2 linked regions of the Astyanax mexicanus genome follow. The protein of the gene in region 2 purifies or fractionates together with the protein of the main gene of each other region. This does not show direct contact. Links are inferred from orthologs where the notes say so. Each region holds a gene or a part of one and is shown on either strand. Other genes may lie near its edges.

Region 1 (10,287 bases), on a different chromosome or scaffold from region 2:
GATAACAGTAATGAGTAATGCCACTCTGCTGGTGCCCACTGTTTTTATTTTGGGATTTATTTTTGGTTGGTTCTTTTTTTTTGTTTGTTTAATTTTGGCTGAGATTCATATGGCATCCGTTTGATGGAAAAAATAAAACACAGACGCTCCAGTAAGAAAGAAGGGGGGGATTATCCTTTTCTTCCCTGACACACTCTGTAGACGTTTCTTTATGAAGGTGGGCCAAGCTCAGCAGAACGTTGAAGCCATTTGAGCTCTGTGGAGGTAGAATGGTGTGCATATTTGACTACACACACACACACACACACACACACTTATATATTGATAGGAGACCTGTACAGCTGAACCCTGACACACACACACGTACACTCATACACTGACTTCACGCACATGTCCAGGACGGACTGACGGACAGACTTATGGACTGACTTACAGAAATACACAAAGGACAGGATCAGTATGCAGGTTTGGCTCTAGAGGATTGGGAGATTATTGTTTGTCAAGGTTTTCTCCATGTGTAATAGTCGGAGGGGGGGGGGTGGGGGGAGCAGAGAGTTGGATTTTTGTGAAGATGGGCTGGGTTTGGGTTAGGCGGGGTGGCAGAAAATGTTACAATTCTATTGTGTATATTGAAATCCCAGCTGTTCACAATGACTGCAATATGAATTAAGTTGAATAAAATATGGACTTGAATGCTTATATACTCATATATATGTAACACAGCCACCACAATCATGTTTTCACTGGGTTAATAGTCAAGGTTTCTTTTACTTTTTTTCCTGCTTCATGTTACTTTGTTAGTCTTACTAGAATTTTGCAGTTGAGCTGATGTGAAATGGGTGTCACCACAGGTGGACCTCGCATCTCAATCCTTAGTTAATTTACTGTGATCTCTGACTGACCTTTACCTATTGCACTATTAGCTTATGTTATCATGATTTAACCCTGTTAGTAGGGTTAGGTTGGTTAGTATTAGTTTGAAATATCACTATGTTAGCCTGTTATATTTGAGTAGCTTATTAGCTCTGATTTATTAATTTGGTACACCAGGCTAAAGTTAGCTTTAGCTTTTTTTGTTTCAAATGTATCAACACACTACATGGACTAAAGTATTAGGGCACCTACATATTACACATACATGAGCTTTTGGCTATGTTCATATTACCAGGCTGAAGAAAAATCTGCTTTTTTTTGCTCAATGTGGCCAATTTTTTTTTTCAAATGAGATTTTAGTCACTTTCATATGGTCCTAAATCACATACCTATTCGATACATTGACATGTGAAATGAATGTGAATGGTCAAATCAGAATTTATGCATCTTTTTCTTTTGTGCATGCCCTATGTGCTTCTCTCTCGTACCCACACTTCTCTTGGTGCAGCTATGGGTGCAAAAACTGCAAAAGCAAACCGCCTGGTTGTTTTTTTTCTCCTCGACCTGAACTGTACTTCAGACCAGCTGTTTGTTCTCCACTCCAGCAAAAGATGCTCCACATATGAGCTGCTAACTCATCCATTTCCCTTTATAAAGCTACGAGTCGCCTCTCAAATATGACGTTTTGTGTTGGTGGTGAAGAAGGCGACGTTTATACACAAATCAGTGTGCGCATGTGAGGTGTTTCAGGGACATATTCATTCACATTACACACAGATACAGGTCACTTACATTTGAGAATGTGAACCGTCAAGATATCTAAATCCAATCTGAGCAAAAAAAAAAAAAAAAAAACGTTTTTGGACAATTTGGTTTGTAATGTGAACGTGGCCTTTAAGACGTCGTCCCCTTCTGAACCCAGAGACATTAATATAGAGTTTACCTTCCCTTTGAAGCTTTAAGAGCATTAGAAACTTCTATGCACTGCCCTCCTCAGCAGTCAGCACATCTGCACTGTACCTGTACATGGTCAGACACATACCGCTCACAGCTGGAAAATCACAGTTATGGAATATTAAGGAGGGAGGACATCCTGGAGTTCAGTCATTTAGACATGTCCCAATACTTTTGTCCATGTATCCTTTTGTGGTTAGTCTTAGACTTAAGGCAAGTCAGATTAGTTTCTCAAATCAGATTTGTTGAGATGACTGTGCATGTCCAGACATTAAAAGCATATCTAAATGAGTTGATAAGTTAACAAGGTCACTGTCGTTACCTAATCTTTGTCGTTCTTATTGGACTCCCCACTTCCATCACTCTGAATTGGATGAAACTGCTGTTTATTACATTGTAAGTGATGCAAAGACAATGATAAAATCAGATTTGATCACCCAGAGACCTATCTTTACAAATCCGAATGCAATTGCATTTTAAACCACTTCCAAATGCAGTTTGGATCCAGTTTTTAAAAAATTATTTCATGTATTTTTTGACTGTCCAGACTGTCAAAAATCAAACTGGTTAGAATTCAGATATACCAAAAATTTGACCTGAACTTTCCCCTCAGAGTATCTCCCAAAGTTGTCAATTATGAAATGTTTTACTATATTCATCCAATAGTGTACAGAGTACAAGAGAAGTAAAATTAGAATTTATCATGTAAGTCTAGCACAAAAACGTCTACTTTAGTTCACTAGCTTGTCAAGCATTCAAAACGAAGAAAGTAAACACAATAGTTTCAGTAAACTTTATACTACTGACTGCGTATTGCTGAACACCCGATCATAAATAAAAGTGTTACTGTTCTAAAACTCTCATGTTTTAAAAAATAACAGGCTGGTTATCTCGCCCACCATAACCATTTAAACCTAAAAGGGAGTCAGCAGCAGTAACAGCAAAAACTGTCCCTGTCCTGTTGCTACTGTCCCGCGACACTCTCCTACTGTCCCGCGACACTCTCCTACTGTCCCGCGACACTCTCCTACTGTCTCGCGACACTCACCTACTGTCCCGAGACACTCTCCTACTGTCTTGCGACACTCTCCTACTGTCCTGCAGAGCTCTTTAACTGTACCGCGGAGGTTTTTAACTGTACCGTGGAGGTTTTTAACTGTACCGTGGAGGTTTTTTAACTATACCGCGGAGGTTTTTAACTGTACCGCAGAGTTTTTTTTAACTGTACCGCGGAGGTTTTTAACTGTTTTAACTGTCCTGCAGAGCTTTTTAACTGTCCTGTGGAGCTTTTAACTGTGCCGCAATGTGATACATTGTGTCTTATCTTAGTTTTTTTGAGACGACTTAAGACTTATGAGATAATTCCCCTAGATTTGACCATCAAATCTATTATATAATATTTCCAGTGTCATAATACAAAGTAGGTGAGTGTCGCGAGACAGTAGGTGAGTGTTGCGGGACAGTACGTGAGTGTCGCGAGACAGTAGGTGAGTGTCGCGGGACAGTACGTGAGTGTCGCGAGACAGTACGTGAGTGTCGCGAGACAGTACGTGAGTGTCGCGAGACAGTACCTGAGTGTCGCGGGACAGTAGGTGGGTGTCGCGAGACAGTACGTGAGTGTCACGGGACAGTAGGTGGGTGTCGCGAGACAGCAGCAACAGGACAGGGACAGTTTTTGCTCTTACTGCCTCTCAAGGGAGTCATACAACCTGATAATGTCTTAGATCAAGTCCAGAATTAATAGGTTTATAAAAACCTTTAGTAGGACATTTTTGTTTATTATTGGTAATTATTTTAATACTGCTCTCAAATTTTCCACACAAAAGCATCAAACAATTCAGCTCTTTTTCAGGTTTTTAAACTTAAACTATAACCGATTATTATTTCTGTATTTACTAAGTACTGCACATTTATTTACTGGTCTCAGATATGAGACTCGAAACAAGTGGAGCAGAAAGTTTGTGAGGATTACAGTGAGCGCCCCTTATTAGATCGGACCAGGGGATTATGGGAAAGTAGCAGCCAACGGGTTTAAGCCCTCATTTGCCAAGCAGAAAGGAAAACCCTGAGAACAACAAGCACCTAATTAATAATCACTCAGTAATTAATACTGGTAATTAAGCATCCAATCATTAATAATGATCAGACTGTACTTTGGGTGTACTATGGAGGACATCTTGTATACAATAACAGCAACTGTACAAATGGAAACTATGAGCCAAAACTTTACAGCCTCTCTGACTGTGGCCCAGAGCTGCTGTTTATTGAGGAGCACGCCAGTCAGAGCAGAGGTGCTCTGGTACCTTCTGTCAGACAGCATCACTAATTAAAAAGGTTCTGTAGGGGATTGAGGAGAGTTTTTATAATAGTGATGGCTTTGCCGATTTGGTGTGTGGTGTAAATATCAGGCCCGTTGCAACAAGGCAAGAAAAACCAATCAATTGTCTAGGGCCCTGAGACATTGACTGGTTATGATGATTCTGTGATGGTCACTGCAGGAAAGTACAATGACACTGATACCGGAATCCCCCTCAAGGGGCCCTTCCACTAGTTGCTGACAGTAATCATCCAGCCAGGTTTGTGATTCCTGCAGCTGGCAAAAAATGCATTTTGCTTGGGACCCCCAAAAATGGCCCTCTGTTTAGGATGGAGAGGATGGAGACTAAAGACGATCTCAGCTGTCCTCAATATTAGATTAGGTTATAGGTTATATAGGTTATAGGACAGAGATGCTGTGATTCTACAGTCCTTCTGTAAAATATAGGGATGATTCCTCAGTCTGAGCTTTCTTCAGTCTTTACAAGATGTTGCTGGGCTTTCTTGGCTATGAATTTGGGATTGAGGTAGGTACCCGGTGAAATTATCTGCAGGGTGAGCACAGAGCAACATGTTAAAGATTCTTGAAGTTACCCTGTTAATATTATGATCCAATAATTAACAGAAAAAATCACATCGAAATAATAACAAAATATTAAATAAATAACATTAATATTAACACATGAACACGTATTTATCCCAAAACAGCCAATGATGATTTGAGCCTTTAAAAGATGTGTAAAGTTACTTAAAGCACTTTGTCCTTCACTTAAACTCATGAAGTTCCTAAGTGATGCATACTGAACCTTCTGGGAGCATTACAGTAGAGTGTGTAGATGTGTGCTTGTTTATCTGGTCTTATTTACAGAATGTAGGAGTGCTGGGTTAGTTCTGGAGGTAGTTAGTTCTAGCTTCATCATATAGTAAAAAGTGTATATAACTGGTGCTGATATTATTTCTAGAATAAAATGTTAAAATACAACTTATGACATTGTTGTACTGTTTATGTTTTATTGGAATGTTAACCATAAAATATTAAAAGTTTAGTGTTTTTTATTAATTACAATAAGAAAAAAACACGAATGAGCTGCTCAATTAATTTAACCGATTACATTTTTCATTTTAGATCAATATTCAGAACTGAGTCTGGGCTTTGATGGGTTAATTCACTAATTTATTCCTAAATAAATTATATTAAAATAATAAAATAAAAAATGTTCTGAAGAACCTGTCCTCATCTGGAGAGCGCGCATGCTGAGTCACGGGAGCGCGCAGGAGGGGTGTACGGGTATTTTATATATTTATTTATTTAAAGTGCAGCGCGCATGCGCGTGATCGTACCGCGGGAGTCTCGCGGGCCTTTCTTTTCCCTCCGCACGCGGGGCAGAGTGCGAACTGCTGGAACAGAGGAGCAGAGCACGCGGAACGACAAACAACAAACAGGCGAGGAAACAAACAACCGGCCAAGTGCGGAGAGCCGAGCGAGAGACGGGGGAAAGAGAGAGCGGGGCATTTCCGAGAGTTCCACTGTTTCATCTGCAGCGCGTTAGCCCCTCTCTTGTAGCCCGAGTGTGAGGTGTTAATCCGGGATGGAGCTGATAACGATCCTCGAGAAAACCGTCTCTCCAGGTGCCGCTTTAATCTCTAAACACCCTGTGCTGTTCCTCCCAGGCTGGCTGCAGTTCCGCTGCCTCAGTTCTGGGGGAAGATTGTCTAAAATGCTCTGAAATGCTGGCTGACAGGCTGGGTTCGGGCTAGGCACCGCTAGCAAGGCGGCTAACTCTATGCTAGCCAGCTATGTTAGCATGCTATGGGCCCAGCTGGGACGCCGCTGAAGTTAGCGCTCTTTCTAACTCTCAGTTCCACCTTAAACGTCGTATCGCAGCGCCACAGTGAACCTGCGGCACGGGTTTTAAGGTGGACTGAAAACTCGAACGGCGGATACCTAGTTGGATTCAACTTTAGCGACTTCCTTCAGCTCACAGTGTGCTGTATGCTGATTTTATATATGATATATATGGTTTAACTCGTTAATAAATAGAAAGGTCGTAACGTAGGGTCGGGGCGGTGATGTAGTGTGGGGCGGGTGTTGAAAAATGCGCGGTTAGCTGTCAGCTTTTAGCGTTTACCGGCCCGTTAGCTCGCTAGCTTAGCTAACCAAGCTAGCGTTAGGTTGGCTAGCTAACTCGGCGCGGGTTTTTTGGCTGATTTTGTGAGCCGTTTGAGTCCGTACTGGGTCCATAAACACCCACGTAAACGTTTTAGTGCGTTTTCTGTGTGTGTAAAGTGTATATAAATTAACAAAAGTGGCGTTATTTACTAAAGAATTTCGTTTTGGTAAGTTTGTCGGTTGCTAACCCGTCAGAAGTTGGCGATAGCTCAGTTAGCCGTAAGACTAGCTTAGCGTTAGCTAGAGAGCGCTAAAATCTAGCTAGCCGGCTCATTAAAAGTTTATAGGTTTATAGCCGCGCAGATCTCGGGGAATAAAAAAAGATCAGTAGCTTAATTCGCACATATAGGTGAGATATCGCGTCTGTGCCGATTATTATGTGTTTTTAACGCTGAAATTGGGCTAGAGTTGGCCGGTATTGCAGGCTGGGTTGGACCGGTATGTTAGCGGATACCGGGACTGGTTCTCTTCATGCCCGGCGGGAGGGAGTGGTAGCTACATCTTAAAAGGGGAGGTTCACGTTAGCTAGCGTTAACTTACACGGCTTTAGCTAGTTAACTAGTAGAGTTATAGCTAGATATAAACTTTCTACTTTTTAATAATTTTTGTTGTGCGTTTACTGTGTCTCTCCAACTTTAACTGTGTACACCGGTTGGTTTGCTGAAGCTTCATTTACAGTCTGTCATTTTCCTCAGATCAAAATGAGCTGGAGGCGGCGCAGAAGTTTTTGGAGCAGGCAGCGATTGAAAATCTGGTAAGTTTCGTGAAGCTTTATTTCTTCTGGTTTAAATTCGAGCAGACTGATGAAGGCTTGACTGCAGTGAGCACTGGTCTCTCTCTCTCTCTCTCTCTCTCTCTCTCTCTCTCTCTCTCTCTCTCTCTCTCTCTCTCTCTCTCTCTCTCTCTCTCCTCCACACGTTGCCCTGAATGGAGCAGCTCACCGTTAGCAGGCCACTGGGCCTCTGTAACTCCCGTATCACTGATTGTTAATCCCTTGATTTAAACGGCGAGTCCTGCCGCAAATGCCTGCACAGCTGTGTGCATTACACCATGTTACAGGTCCAGATAAACCGGTCAGACAGTAAGCCAGTTTGCTTTATATGTACTGCTGTATAGTAAACATTATATACGACACAAGATTGATAAGATTCAAATTGAGTAAATAAACTGATATTTATTTTTAAACGATACTGTAAAGCTGTACTGAATCTTGGCTCATTTAATGCCTCCTAAAGCTACAGATGTGTAAAAATCAGACGTATCCCTCCAATTCTTTGACTTTGTTCCTACTTGACAGTTGCATTCTGACCAGAGCAATATAATTCACCTACATTTATCTGATATCATACTATTGATTGGTTTGGTGGATTGAATTTGATCTCAATGCAGCCTAGTTATTTTATTGCCATCGGTGCTGTGAGATTTATGCCTGACCGTGGAAAGTTAATTGTAAAAAAACAGGCAGGTTATTTACACATGAGCTTGTTCTCTAAGATTAGTTCCAGGGATTGCACTGTACAGCCAAGGAGTTTGTCTCCCTAACAACATATCTGAAGTTCAATTATTTGTATCAGTGTTGTAACAAAGCAACTTAGTCCCAGCCCTTTTTTGAGTGAACCAGTCATTAGCAAGTGACAAACTCCCTCATAGGAAGAAGAGATTTTTTTTTTTTTTTACATGGAGCAGCCAAGTGTTGTCTTAATATTTAGCTTTTTTTAAAAATAACTATGTGCATTACAATTGTTTGCTTTACTAAAATAAGTTATGAAGTACTATAAGTGTTGTACTAAATTCAGTATTTCACACAATGAGTTTTATGAAACAGGACTATATAATTGTGCTATATAATATCTGCAGCTGGCTGGTGTTTCAGCTGTAAGGAAAATATTGCAATGTACTCAAAGCTTAATGCAACAACTTATTGTCATAACTATGCCTATGTTACCCTGTTAATTTGAATTTAGTCAGCCCAAATAGTAGGGGCTTCTGTTATGTTGCCACTAAAATGTTTGTTATATTTAATTTTTGTTAACTTTGTGTTCTTCCTTCTTCTCTTCAGCCCACTTTCTTGGTGGAGCTCTCCAAGGTGTTGGCTAATCCTGGAAACACCCAGGTAGCCAGAGTCGCTGCCGGGCTGCAGGTGAAAAACTCCCTCACGTCCAAGGACCCTGATGTGAAAGCGCAGTACCAGCAGAGATGGCTGGCCATCGATGGCAATGCTCGCAGGGAGATTAAAAACTATGTAAGGAACTTCTTCCCCCAGTAATTTACCTTTTTATTAATTACTTTAGCATTGTTCTCAAGGGGAATTTATGTGCGAGTCCACAACACTGACACAATGTAGACACAATATATTCCAGATTGGCTCCAACACCAATTTAGTGGTATTTAGGTTTTGCAGAGCTAAATCTAATGTTGGTGTAATGGAGATCTTAAACTCTGCAGAATTTAAGGCAAATATCTAGCAGCCAATACACACTACCGTCTAAGCCTAAGAGTCCTGTAGTGACAATGTTCTGGTTAATGGTAGGAACACATTAATGCTATGATGAACAAAATGAAGTAGCTGCCTGGTGAAGAGCTGTGTGGAGCAAGTGGGTATCTAGAAATATTTCTGTAATGGCTTAAATGTTATGGTTTGTTTTATAAACCTATTTCCTCGTTTTAGCGCTGTTTTTAGCTGTGGTGACTTTGTTTTAATGTCAATCAGCACAAGGCATCTGTGAGCTGATGTATCGGAACTAAGTTGTTGCGCTTTCCTCTGAGCTCACTGTGATGCTATTCTGCATTGTATTGGATGTGGTAGGTGGTAGTCCTCACCCTCCGTGTGTTGGGGCGCACATCAGCTCACAGATGCCTTGTGCTGTGGACATTACCCTAGGAGTGATGTGGGGAGAGAGCGCCATCTACCCACCCAGGGCCAATTTTGAGCGCTGGCAGCTTAATGGCAAAGCTGCATAAGTGGGGGTTCGAACCTGCGACCTCCCACTCATAGTGGCAGCGCTTTAGACCACTGGACCAGCGTACATATTTTTAGTAGACAAGCTTTTTTACAATGTACGTTTAAATGTTAAATTGTTTCTGGTAATCAGTTTTATGACAGGAATATTATTTATTTAAATCTGTGAGTTCTTCAACTTCTTTGCTCTTCTCTATGTGCAGGTGCTGCAGACCCTGGGTACAGAGACGTACAGGCCTAGCTCAGCCTCGCAGTGTGTGGCAGGCATCGCGTGTGCTGAGATTCCAGTCAACCAGTGGCCGGAGCTCATTCCCCAGCTAGTGGCCAATGTCACTGACCCCAGCAGCACGGAGCACATGAAGGAGTCCACACTGGAGGCCATTGGCTACATCTGCCAGGACATTGTGAGTAACCTCCACCATGCTGAACAATTTAAATAGAAGCATTTTTCCTCTAATAAATGCCCAATCTGATTTTTCATTTGTGCATACAATAAAAACTTTTATTTAAACTGTATTTAAAATCACTGAAATCATTGTTTGGATATTAATTACATTTGGCCACAGTAGAATTTGAGAAAATATACTTGCTCTAAGTTTAGTGTGTTTGTGAATGAATGTGTATAATCACTTCAATCGGCGAGTGTCTTGCCTGGCATGCATAAAGATGTGACACAAGTGAGAAGGCAGAAAGCAAGTGACTTATCTTTGCTGATGTTATCTGTTTCCAGAAACAGTAACTACACTATACATGTCCTGTGGTAAAGTCGTCCATGTGAATGGAGTCCTCACCAGTATTCGGTGTCGCTAAAGTGTAGTATTAGCTGCCATCCAAAGAGGAAGTCTCGCAACTAATGTAACAATGAGAGTTCAGGATCTGAGAAGAATGTTTGGGATTAACACATTCATGCCATAAACTAAATGAAGTAGCAGTCTGGACTCAAATTTTGGGTTAATTTCTGAGCTTTAGAAAGCAATGCCTCTTTTGCTGGAGTCTTTAAACTATTTTTTTTTTT
Region 2 (10,637 bases):
GATAGATTCTATCCAATTGTATTGGATTGTATGAAATTTCATGTCATTTGCATAAATGTATAACTGCTTGGATGAAGTCTGTGTTAGGTTACGGGAGGAGACACCCAAGGGTCCTCACTCCCCTCACCTGGCTTTTTGTTTCTCTCTCTCTGGGTTGTAAATGTGTTGACCTATCGAGATATAATTATACTATGTTTTGACCCATTGATGTACTTTTACTCCTTTCTAATGTATCTATTAAATAGTCCCATTTATATTGATTTTAAATTCTAAAAACTTTTACACAATTTATCATCTTTTCATGTTCTGGGATTTCTTACTTCCGAGTTTAACATGCTTTCGTAAATTGCCCTACAATGATGATGGTCTAAATTCATTGGCACATGTTAAGATATCAAACCAGATACTGTATCAGTCAAGTCTGATAAGCTGCATCTAGGATAAGTGTTTAGTTTATATTTATACCTTTTATAAATGTACATAACCTGTTGGAAGCCTGTTAAGATAATGGCTTGTCCAAAGGAATATCCAAAAGGTGGCGCTATTAGCACTTATATAGAGCTTTATTTAGACCTGCTATTTTGGTCTAGTACAAGTTTTGATTCTAATACAGTCATGAACCTTAAAAATGTATGAATTTTCATTTGATAGTAATACAATAACTATAAGGCAGTAACTATATTTTTGATTTGCTATATTAATTTGAGATTTCAATAAACTGTATGGAAATATTAGCTGTCATTTATACTGTGTGAACCTTCTGTGGCAAGTAGAAACTGTAAAAAGCAAAACGTTTCAAGTTAAATTAGACCAAAAATGTAAGAAACTTTTTAAGTCTAATAAAAATGAAATGTATAGACATCAGAGATTTTGTAAGAAGATTTATTTTTATTTAATTAATTATGTATTTTTACATGTATTATAAAGAGATGCACCTGGAATAATACTAAAATATCTAGCTTAAACAATTAAAATAAATTAATTAATCACAAAAAAGATACAGATACAAGAATAAAATACAATCAAATAACATTCAGGCTTGAGGCTAATGATTATGGTGGCAATGTTCATGTTGAAAATCAAGACTATGAAATTTTGACACCCACCAGTACTCACTTTCCAGGCCAATGTACACAGACTTGTGTTGAAGCAACACTTCCACCTGCTGTGAGAATTGAGAAAGGGGTGTTGAACTGTAATGATCCATAAAGGAAAATTAAGTCAATTATGGTGAATCTCAAATTTAAAATACAAGGCAGTGCTGCTCCATACTCTAAATAAATGTTCCTCTATTGTATTTCTCAGTAATATAGAGCAGGTTTCACTATACCTCACAGTAGCTGCTGCTGGAGGTTGATGCTGAGATGAGACAGCTGGCTTCAGTAGATCTGTGACTTTTCCTTCTGACATTAAGTAAAATGCAAAGAAACAGCAGTGAATGTGAATATTCAGTAATACAAATGTAATGATTAGCTACAAATGTCTGTCATGCTAACTTTACTTTGCTAGCGTTAGCTGGTTACTGGGTTTTGCTGATTTACAAAAAACTTGTGTGAATCTTTCCAATTCCAAACCAGTGGCGGAGATAGGATTTTTCTGAGTAAGGGGCCAGCAAGGGGCCATTTATAGAGGTGCCAAGTATTATTTCACCAGTCACACCATGTTCAAACACGTAATTTTAAAAACACTTAAACAGTAGAATATATAGAGTTAATTAATTAAGTCTTTACTTTAATTGTTGTGCTTTTTGTATTTTTGTTGATTCTGATTTTTTAGTTTTTCTATATGTACATAATCTAAAATTTTGTCTGGATATTTTATATTTTTGTGTAAAACATTCTGGAAAAAAATTACTTTATAATAATCTCCTTACCAATTTTACATGCATTTTTACTGTACATAAACAAATTATATTCATAAATAGACTCAAAATCCAGCATCTTATTTAATTTTTTAAACCTTTTTACTTTTATAAAAATACTGTCAGTCCAGAACATCAAAAAATCTCCCTTAAACTTTAATCACTGTGTTTTTCCTATTGGGCTCATTAGCGCATGCGCATGGAACTGCAGCCACCTACAATCTGATCATCGCTCTCGGCCAGAGTGAGAGTATACATGCACTTCAAGCTGGGGCCAATGCCCCGTGGCCCCGCCCCTAGAACCGCCAGCATTCCATGAGGGTGTTTTCAATGAAACTACTGCTGGGAACACAGTAAATGAAGCCCTAACTACAAAGTTAGTAACTAGAGATGTCCAGCAGCGCCGCTAATCGGCCGATACGAGTCATTACAGTCCGTTCAGTAACATCACTAAACTACGACCATTCGCTTTATCATAAAATCACCCCATTGATACAAACTATACCCCAGAGTTTACAGCACAAATTCTATACGTTTTATCATAAAATTACCCCATTGATACAAGCTATTCCCCAGGGTTTACAGCACAAATTCTATCTGCTTTATCATAAAACTACCTCATTGATACAAGCTATTCCCCAGGGTTTACAGCAATAATTCTATCCCCTTAATCATAAAGTCACCCCACTGATACAAGCTATACCCCAGTGTTTACAGCACAAACTCTATCCGCTTTATCATAAAGTCACCCCACTGATACAAGCTATACCCCAGTGTTTACAGCACAAACTCTATCTGATTTATCATAAAATCCCCCCACTGATACAAGTTCTACCCCAGAGTTTACAGCACAAACTCTATCCGCTTTATCATAAAATCACCCCATTGATACAAGCTATTCCCCAGGGTTTACAGCACACATTTAGTCAGTCTAACTCAATAAAATAAAAATCAATTTACATATTCACCTTTAAATATTAAGACAGTCTAACTCAATTAAAACAAGCTCAATTTACAAAGTCACCTTTAAATATTAAATCAGTCTAACTCAATCAAAACAAGTTCAATTTACATATTCACCTTAATGAATTAAAAATGTAACAGACTTGTGCAAAAATATTTAGGAATTGAAAACAAAAACTCAGTTTCACAGTCCCATCTACAGATTCAGATTAAATGCAAAGTGAACAAAACATACAACAGTCTACTAAATATTTAAAAGCAGTTCACAAAAAAGTCTTAAATCATTTCGAATGAACTTTTTTTTTAACAAGTTTGCAAAAAAAAAATACATTATACTTTTTGTTATTGATTCCCTTAAGAAAGTGACAAAAACATGAAAAGAAATAACCATGTGTTCTGCCCTGGTCCAAGCTAAACCGACACAGGTCCACTTATTGGGGTGGCATTATAGCATGCTAACGCGGTGTTAGCATAACAGCATGCTAACACAGAGACTCTGGCCCGCTCACGGGGTCGCTAATGCGGCGTTAGCATAACAGGGTGTAAGCCCGGTCTGTGAGCGCCCAGTGCCGGACCGTGCCTGGCCACCAGATATTGATCCCTCGCATAAATGATATCCTTCCGTTCAGCTCAGCTGTACTATTAACGAAATAATACAGTGGCATTCATAAAGCAAACAAAAAATGACAGCACAACTGCATTACTATATACATTATATATATACATTACAGTATAAATTAAATAATTTATTTTTTTATATGTACATACATATAAAAGTAATGCTCTTTATAGGTATATATTTGAGCAAAATGAAGAGTATGTGTGTGTACATATAAAAATTAAATTAGTTCATTTATACAGTTATTATATGCCATACCGTACGTCTGTCTTTGTTAAAGAGCATAAAACAAAGTATGTCAGCATGAAAGCACATATTTGTAATGTGTGACAGCGTCCTGTATCTCCTGTAACTAAAAATCCTGTGAAAGGTCTTATTATTATAGGTGTACTAAACACCTTCCTCAGTGTAAATTAATGCACTGGGGGGCGCATGTTGCCTCCTCCAATATGGCGGCCATGCTGACACGCCAGCTCAACAGCAGCTAAACAGCGCCCTCTAGCGGCTGGGAGCATTTCCAGTGTGGCAAACGTAATTAAGTAATTTCGTTTTTCTTAACGCAGCGTTTCTGAAATGCTGCGTTTTCTTTATGTAGTTGCGTTTTCTTTATTTATTTATTTTTAAGAGTGGAGCAAATGTAAGTATACAAATATAGAACAGAATTGGCATGCCAAAACATAGTAGTACTACTACTACTAATAATAATAATAACCACATATCCTATGTTATTTTAAATATTAGGTGATAACTGGTCAGTTTTTGTTATATATGTATATACGCACGCATAATTTTTTCTAACAACAGTAATGTGGAGTAACGTTTAGGTTGTAAAGTGGCCTTTACTTTGATGTAATTAATAATAAAGAGAAGTACAGATTTGTGATTAAAAGTAATTACATACATGTTGTTAACTATAGGGTGGGCTTTGTTTTATATTAGCAAATGTGTCCCCCTAATGTCAAACCCACTCCTACGCCCTTGTGTATTGATGTACTGTATTATTTTCTATAACCAAGACAAAACCATAGGTTTAGATATGTTGAGATGGATGGCCACGATAGTTAAAGACATTTACACAATACACATTTTTTTTCATTATAACCAGCATGTAATAAAATGTACAGTTGGGTTAGAGTTCTTTAAGCGTTTATGATCTCAATATGTGTAAAAATAATAGTGTCTGTATGATAGAAAATTTATTAAAATATGATAAAATATTGCCATGTTGCCAAGCTCTGTTTTGAGATCAATTTAATCTAAAATTTATTCTGACTGCTGCCTCTATATTTTCACTATTTCATCCACCACAAACATTTATATTGAAATTACGAAACTTCTTTAGAGATTTTAATGTAATTGCAACATTACTTTACGATTTTACGAAAAAAAAAACATTTAAAATATTTTAAATCATTGTAAAAAAAAAATGAAAATGAGATCTAATTTTTCTCTTAATAAAGTTTAAAGTCCTGTAATGCAACACTTTTAATCTCCTTGTATTTTTTATACTCCCCGTTTTATGTTTTGTATTTTATGAGAAAATGATTATTACTATTATTATTATTATTATTATTATTATTAATAAAACAGTCTAATGCAATTGTGAGATTAAAGTGTATGAAAACATTTTGCTTAGTTGTTATGTATTGTTTGGGTTAAATAAATGTTTTATTTATAAATTTACGTTTACTAAAAATATTTCCAAAAATAACAGAACTGTTAAAACAATGGATACATGCACGGTATATTATATTTTACATATTTTTGTAAATTATACATTCCACAGGAATATTTTTTCTTTTTTTCGTTTTTATTAATATGCCTTGACATCTGTAGGATTGTGAAATGTTATATCGTTGTTTAACTATAGTATCTGATTATCAATGTTTTAAAAATTCACTGTTTGAATGTTTGGTCTATCGACTGCCGTTTTGCTCAAAGGCGCAACTTCAGTCTCCATCAGCTCGACTCTACCAATTATGCGGGCCTTTCGGTTCAACCAAAAAAACAACTGAGAGGAGAATAGCCACTTAAGAATCTATTCTGTGTGTGTGTGTCCCTTTATCCTAATATAGAAAGATTTATCTGGATACTTTTTTATGCTGAGAAGCCGGAATGAAAACAAGCTGAAAGGAAATAAGAGTAACGAGGCTAACATTTTTTTAAATGTAAGAATTAGAAATGATCAAATCAAACCAAACTTATTTGTATAGCACTTTGAACAACTGATCAGCTTTAAATAAATGTGATCGTGGGACAGAGAATCAGGCAAAACATACAATACAGAAACCCCACTGAGGGACAGAGGCAAGAAAAAACTCCCTCAGAGCTGGAGGAGGAAGAAACCTGGGGAGGACCAGTACTCACATATGGTGGAGGGGAGAAACAGTTTTTAAATGAATGTTTTATAATGAAAGTTATTATACATACAGATCTAATATTTTCAGGTGTATAGCAACACCAAGTAAAAAGTCGTCTGAGATAACCAAAAGTTCTACTTAAGTAAGGTAGCTAATGAAGTATCCGTACTTTGTTAGTTGACACCTCTTGCACTTTCCTCAAAAAAAAATCTGACTTACAGGGCATTCATTAATACTAAAGACCACTGCATAATTATTAAAAAAAACGATAAAATGCGACCTTTAATAAAGGAATATAACGGACAAGCAGTTAGATACTATTTTAATTTGAGTTTAGCCGTTTAGCTCTATTCACTCCCATTAATTTGGGTCTCCCTCGCGGGTTCCCTCTAGCGGTGGGCTGTAATTCTCTGATATAACGGTGAGAGGGGAAGGAGAAAGTGGGCAGGCTCTCCGAAAACCGGCTCTGGTTCCACTTCCTTTAGAGAACACCAGTCTGTGAAATGGGTCCGACAGGCTGCTGCCGCCGCTGATTATGCCCCTCACACGTGTTACATTTTTCCTGTGTGTTTTTTGAGCCTCCTGAACCCCGCCGCCGGTGTGTTTTTGTGTAGTTAGGTTCTCGGTTGTGAGAGCGACTCTGTGATTGGCTCAAACTCCAGCAGCAGCAGCATCTAATCTAGCTACGTTATAGTCCTGCGTTGGCTAACGCTAGTTAACCTAGCAGTGATTATAGAGGCGCTAGCTAGCCGGGGAAAAGTACCGGGTGAACAGCAGTAGCAGCGCCAGCAGCTCTCGAACTGACCGCCTGCTCCTCGCTCTCTTCTGCCCGGGCCTCTGAAATGCTGGAGAGCCCATCTGAGCTCCACCAGACACGCCGCTTCTGAGCTCTGCTTCGTCTGTGAGTTAGCTGAAGCTAGCTTAAATAAAACAGCTCGGTTTGTTTTGTAGCTTAACCAGCTGCGTGCTGTTCTTCTCGAGCTCCCACAACAATAGCTTAGCTAGCTCGGCTGGATCATGGGGGCATACCTGTCTCAGCCCAACACGGAGAAAACCTCGGCCGACGGCGGGAACCACAAGCTCCAGTACGGCTTTGCAGCCATGCAGGGATGGCGCATTTCCATGGAGGTAACAAACCAACCTAACCTAATATAGCTAAGCTAAGCTATCTTATGGGAAGCCTGGAGCAGGCAGAATCAGTGGGGTTATGTTAGTTAATATTAGCTAAGCTCAGCTAGCCGTTCACTTCGATACAGCTAACTGCAGCTCATAAATTGAACTCAAATACACTTAATGGAGTTCGAAGTGAGGGCCGGTGTCCTATCGAGTTGTGCTACCCATCGATATGTGCTACTTTGCGGCTCTGCGCAGGCGCGAAAATATATATAATTTTTTTTACTGTTTTCATGTGTTTTTTCCTTAGAGGTGGGTAACCCAGGTCCAGAAAGTAAAAACCCAATCCAGGGTTTTGTACCAACTGCTTTGGTTTTTCCTGATAATTAACTTATTCTTCCGGATGCCTTGTACAATCTAGACTCAAAATCATCGTTTGTTTGAGTGTAACAACAGTGTAAAAAGTAACAAAAAATGCACATATAAATGTTTTTTTAATCGCCTATACTTTCTTAACTTTACCTTGATATAGCGATTTATGCTATTCAAATATCATACCGACAGTGCTGCTGCATGCAGCATGTTCTAATAGTTTGTATTTTTACAGTTAAACATACACTAAGGTAGCACAGTTTGACAAGGTAGCAGAACTCGACACAACACCGGCCTCATTCTCTTTCATTCTGCTGCTTCAGACAATGTAGCTAGTTTACCAGCCATGCAGCACTAGGTATTATAACCTAACTACCTAAGCTGTTTGAATGAGTTAGGTTAGTTAGCTTAGCTGCGATTCTCAGGGTCGTGTTTGAACAGTGTGATGTGTGCGCGGGTTTTCGCGCCAGTTTAACTTTCTGTCTGCTCGCCGCCACATGGCTGTCTGCATTGTTCTGTGGCCTTCCAGCTCTGCAGCCCTCCTCATCCACTCTGATAATTCCTCTATATCTACACTAACAGGATGCACACAACTGTATTCCCGAGCTGGATGACGAGACTGCTATGTTTGCTGTCTATGATGGACATGGAGGTGAGGAAACGTGGCTTGCGTTAATCACCAAGTACCTAGCTAACATAGTCGTTATCAGCCTCTGCTCTGATATGTAAAAGCGCATTAAATCAGTTAACACTACCCCTTTCTTGGAATTGAGATGAGCTTGTTTTCTCTTCTGTGCATTAGCTAACTAAATATTAAGTTTCTGTAGTGTAATGTCCTGTGGGGTGACGCACAAAGAAAGGGGCACCTTTTTTTTTTACACGTCACAGACCCTTTAAAAGAGATGTAAAGTTCCTTAATTTACTTTATTCCTCATTTTAACTCATAAAGTTCCTAAGTGACACATACTGAGCATCCTGAAAGCATCATCACAGGACATTGTGTGAATCTGTGTTCGTTATCTGACCTTATTTACAGACTGTAGGTGTGCAAGGTTAGTGCTTATTTTATTGAGCTTTTCCAACCATTTAACCAAACTGTTATGAAATTTGTTACATCAAAATATTTACCGGTAGTAATTTTCCTCCACTGCAACTATTCAACACACCAGGTTATAGGAGAAATCTGGTGTGAAATGGACTTGATTTAGTGCTAAACTTGATAACAGTATAATAGCCCACTTCTGTTCACCCCCAGCATTACAAAATACAGCACTGTTAGACAATTCTCCCAGCAGACCTACAATGCAAGTGATGGGTGCATAGTGTTGCCCATGTAAAAATCAATTTCGAAATAAATAAAATAAATCTCTTCTAAATTTCTACACCATTAACAAGCTCAAAGTAGCCCCACTCATGCTTGGTAGAATTCTGAGGACCTTGGCATTTAAAACATTAGAACAAATTCAACAGTTCATCAGTTGCAGTATGTGGGCCTGATAGTAAGACATATGCACTTTCTCTTTCCTTCCAGGTGAAGAAGTTGCTTTGTACTGCTCCAAATATTTACCCGACATCATAAAGGAGCAGAAGGCATACAAAGATGGCAAACTGCAAAAGGTAAGCACAGTAGTTTTTGTGCAAGCGTAGAAGATTACAGCTGTGCATTCATCAGTCTTCCTTTCAACCACAAAGTATATTTTGACCATTTCAAGGAGAGAATGTAAAGGCTTTGCACTGGTAAACCATAGCAAGTGTCAGGCCCTGAGTTAAGCAGTGTTAATTGTGTGTACACAGATGTTCTGTGTACTTTTAAAGCAGCTTTTGTGCATGTGTCCTCTGTTTGCGAGGCGCACACCTAACAGTGGTTGCTAGGATATTGCAGCTGGTTAAATGAAAGGACCTTAGCTGTCAATTATTTGGTATTTGATAAGTAGCATTTATGGATTTCACCAGAAATTTAGAGCAGCTAGCGTGTTGATGCCATCCATTGTAATGTTAAATCTGCACCAGACCGCCCTCTGTTCTGGCATAAGTCAGAGGTGCAAATATGTCTCGGGTTCCACTCTTATTAGTCATCTTAGTAAGTGTAATTTGATTATACTGAACATGAAAATGGAGTTTATATCTCTGATTACATACTTTTTTTATACTGTTTGCTTCTGTGTCTCCAGGCTTTAGAAGACGCCTTCCTGGCAATAGATAGCCGAATCACCACAGAGGAAGTCATCAAGGAGCTTGTTCAGATAGCCGGTCGCCCACAGGAGGAGGCCACATCAGAAAAAGTAGCAGATGAAGATGATTGTAAGTACAATGACTACAATTTTAAATACAGGTGCAAAATGGACCATGGTAATAATTGACGTCAATTAAACATGTACAGTTATAGAAGAGTAAAAAGTGGATTAAAAAAAAAATTGAGTAATAGTGTGACATGTTATGGTGACTAATCAGGGATACTGTTCCTGAAAAACAAGTACATATATTTTTTTTAACAAGCATGCATCTTGACCTAGTGCTCTTGTACGATTTATTTCTCTAATGCACGCATATCGTTTGATCTTGCATTTCGACAGTTTCAGTCAAGTTGTCACTGAAGATGATTCCACAGCTTTTGGTCAGCGTGTTTAATTTTCACCAAACCACCCTGCCCCACTTAGCTTTGCCCATGTCAGAGATCTTATTAAGGATGAGTTTGTCTGCATGAGTGTTCGTGTTGCGCTGCTTATCAAAGAACCAAGTTAGCAAGGCCACTAATCCAGTAAACTACCTGTGGAGCCATCAGCTGCTTTCATCCACCCTTTAACACACCTTTGCTGTACTGAAGACTCTCAGGAGCTCACTCTCGAATACTTGCTCTGTCCCACACTCGTGCACGCTCGTTTGCAAACAGCTGATTGTATGTTTCCTATTTGCAAAGTGGAATATGGAGCTATACTAGTGTTTATTTTCTCCATTAGAACTCAGTAACTCAACACATTACAATATTCTAATTTTAAAAGCTTCAAAACTATCCTGAGATATTATACACAGTAATATTGCCAGATCTAAACCACACCACACTATTACTCTCTCCCTCCTTAAAATACAAGGAACTACTAGTGAATGATGATTAATCACAGACTATTATAAGGAATTTTTAAATGTTTAGTAAGCAGTTATCCTTTAAGAAGCACAGGCTAGTACAATGTAAGACTTTTACAACACATTTTTACGTAATGCAAAATAGTGTTAGTTATTATCAGCAAAATTCTGAGTAAGTAATATTAAAATGATGTGCCGGGATGAGGTTGTACTCATTAAATTATTTCAAGGTTGGCAGGTCTGTCAATCATTTTACAGTGGTATGAAT

What was found. Proteins that work in one complex are often made in the same cells at the same time.
Region 1: the proteins of ppm1g (region 2) and kpnb1 purify together in Homo sapiens (affinity purification with mass spectrometry; 3 studies listed by BioGRID and IntAct, with this or other methods). This does not show direct contact. The link is inferred for Astyanax mexicanus from reciprocal best matches to the Homo sapiens genes PPM1G and KPNB1.

The regions. Positions count from the first base shown.
Region 1 is NC_064410.1:32,299,658-32,309,944, forward strand, and holds the start of kpnb1 (importin subunit beta-1), read left to right. Parts: upstream 1-5,477; 5' UTR 5,478-5,732; coding exon 5,733-5,772; intron 5,773-7,008; coding exon 7,009-7,067; intron 7,068-8,372; coding exon 8,373-8,555; intron 8,556-9,475; coding exon 9,476-9,676; intron 9,677-10,287.
Region 2 is NC_064414.1:18,136,108-18,146,744, forward strand, and holds the start of ppm1g (protein phosphatase 1G), read left to right. Parts: upstream 1-6,255; 5' UTR 6,256-6,820; coding exon 6,821-6,931; intron 6,932-7,870; coding exon 7,871-7,940; intron 7,941-8,819; coding exon 8,820-8,905; intron 8,906-9,459; coding exon 9,460-9,589; intron 9,590-10,637.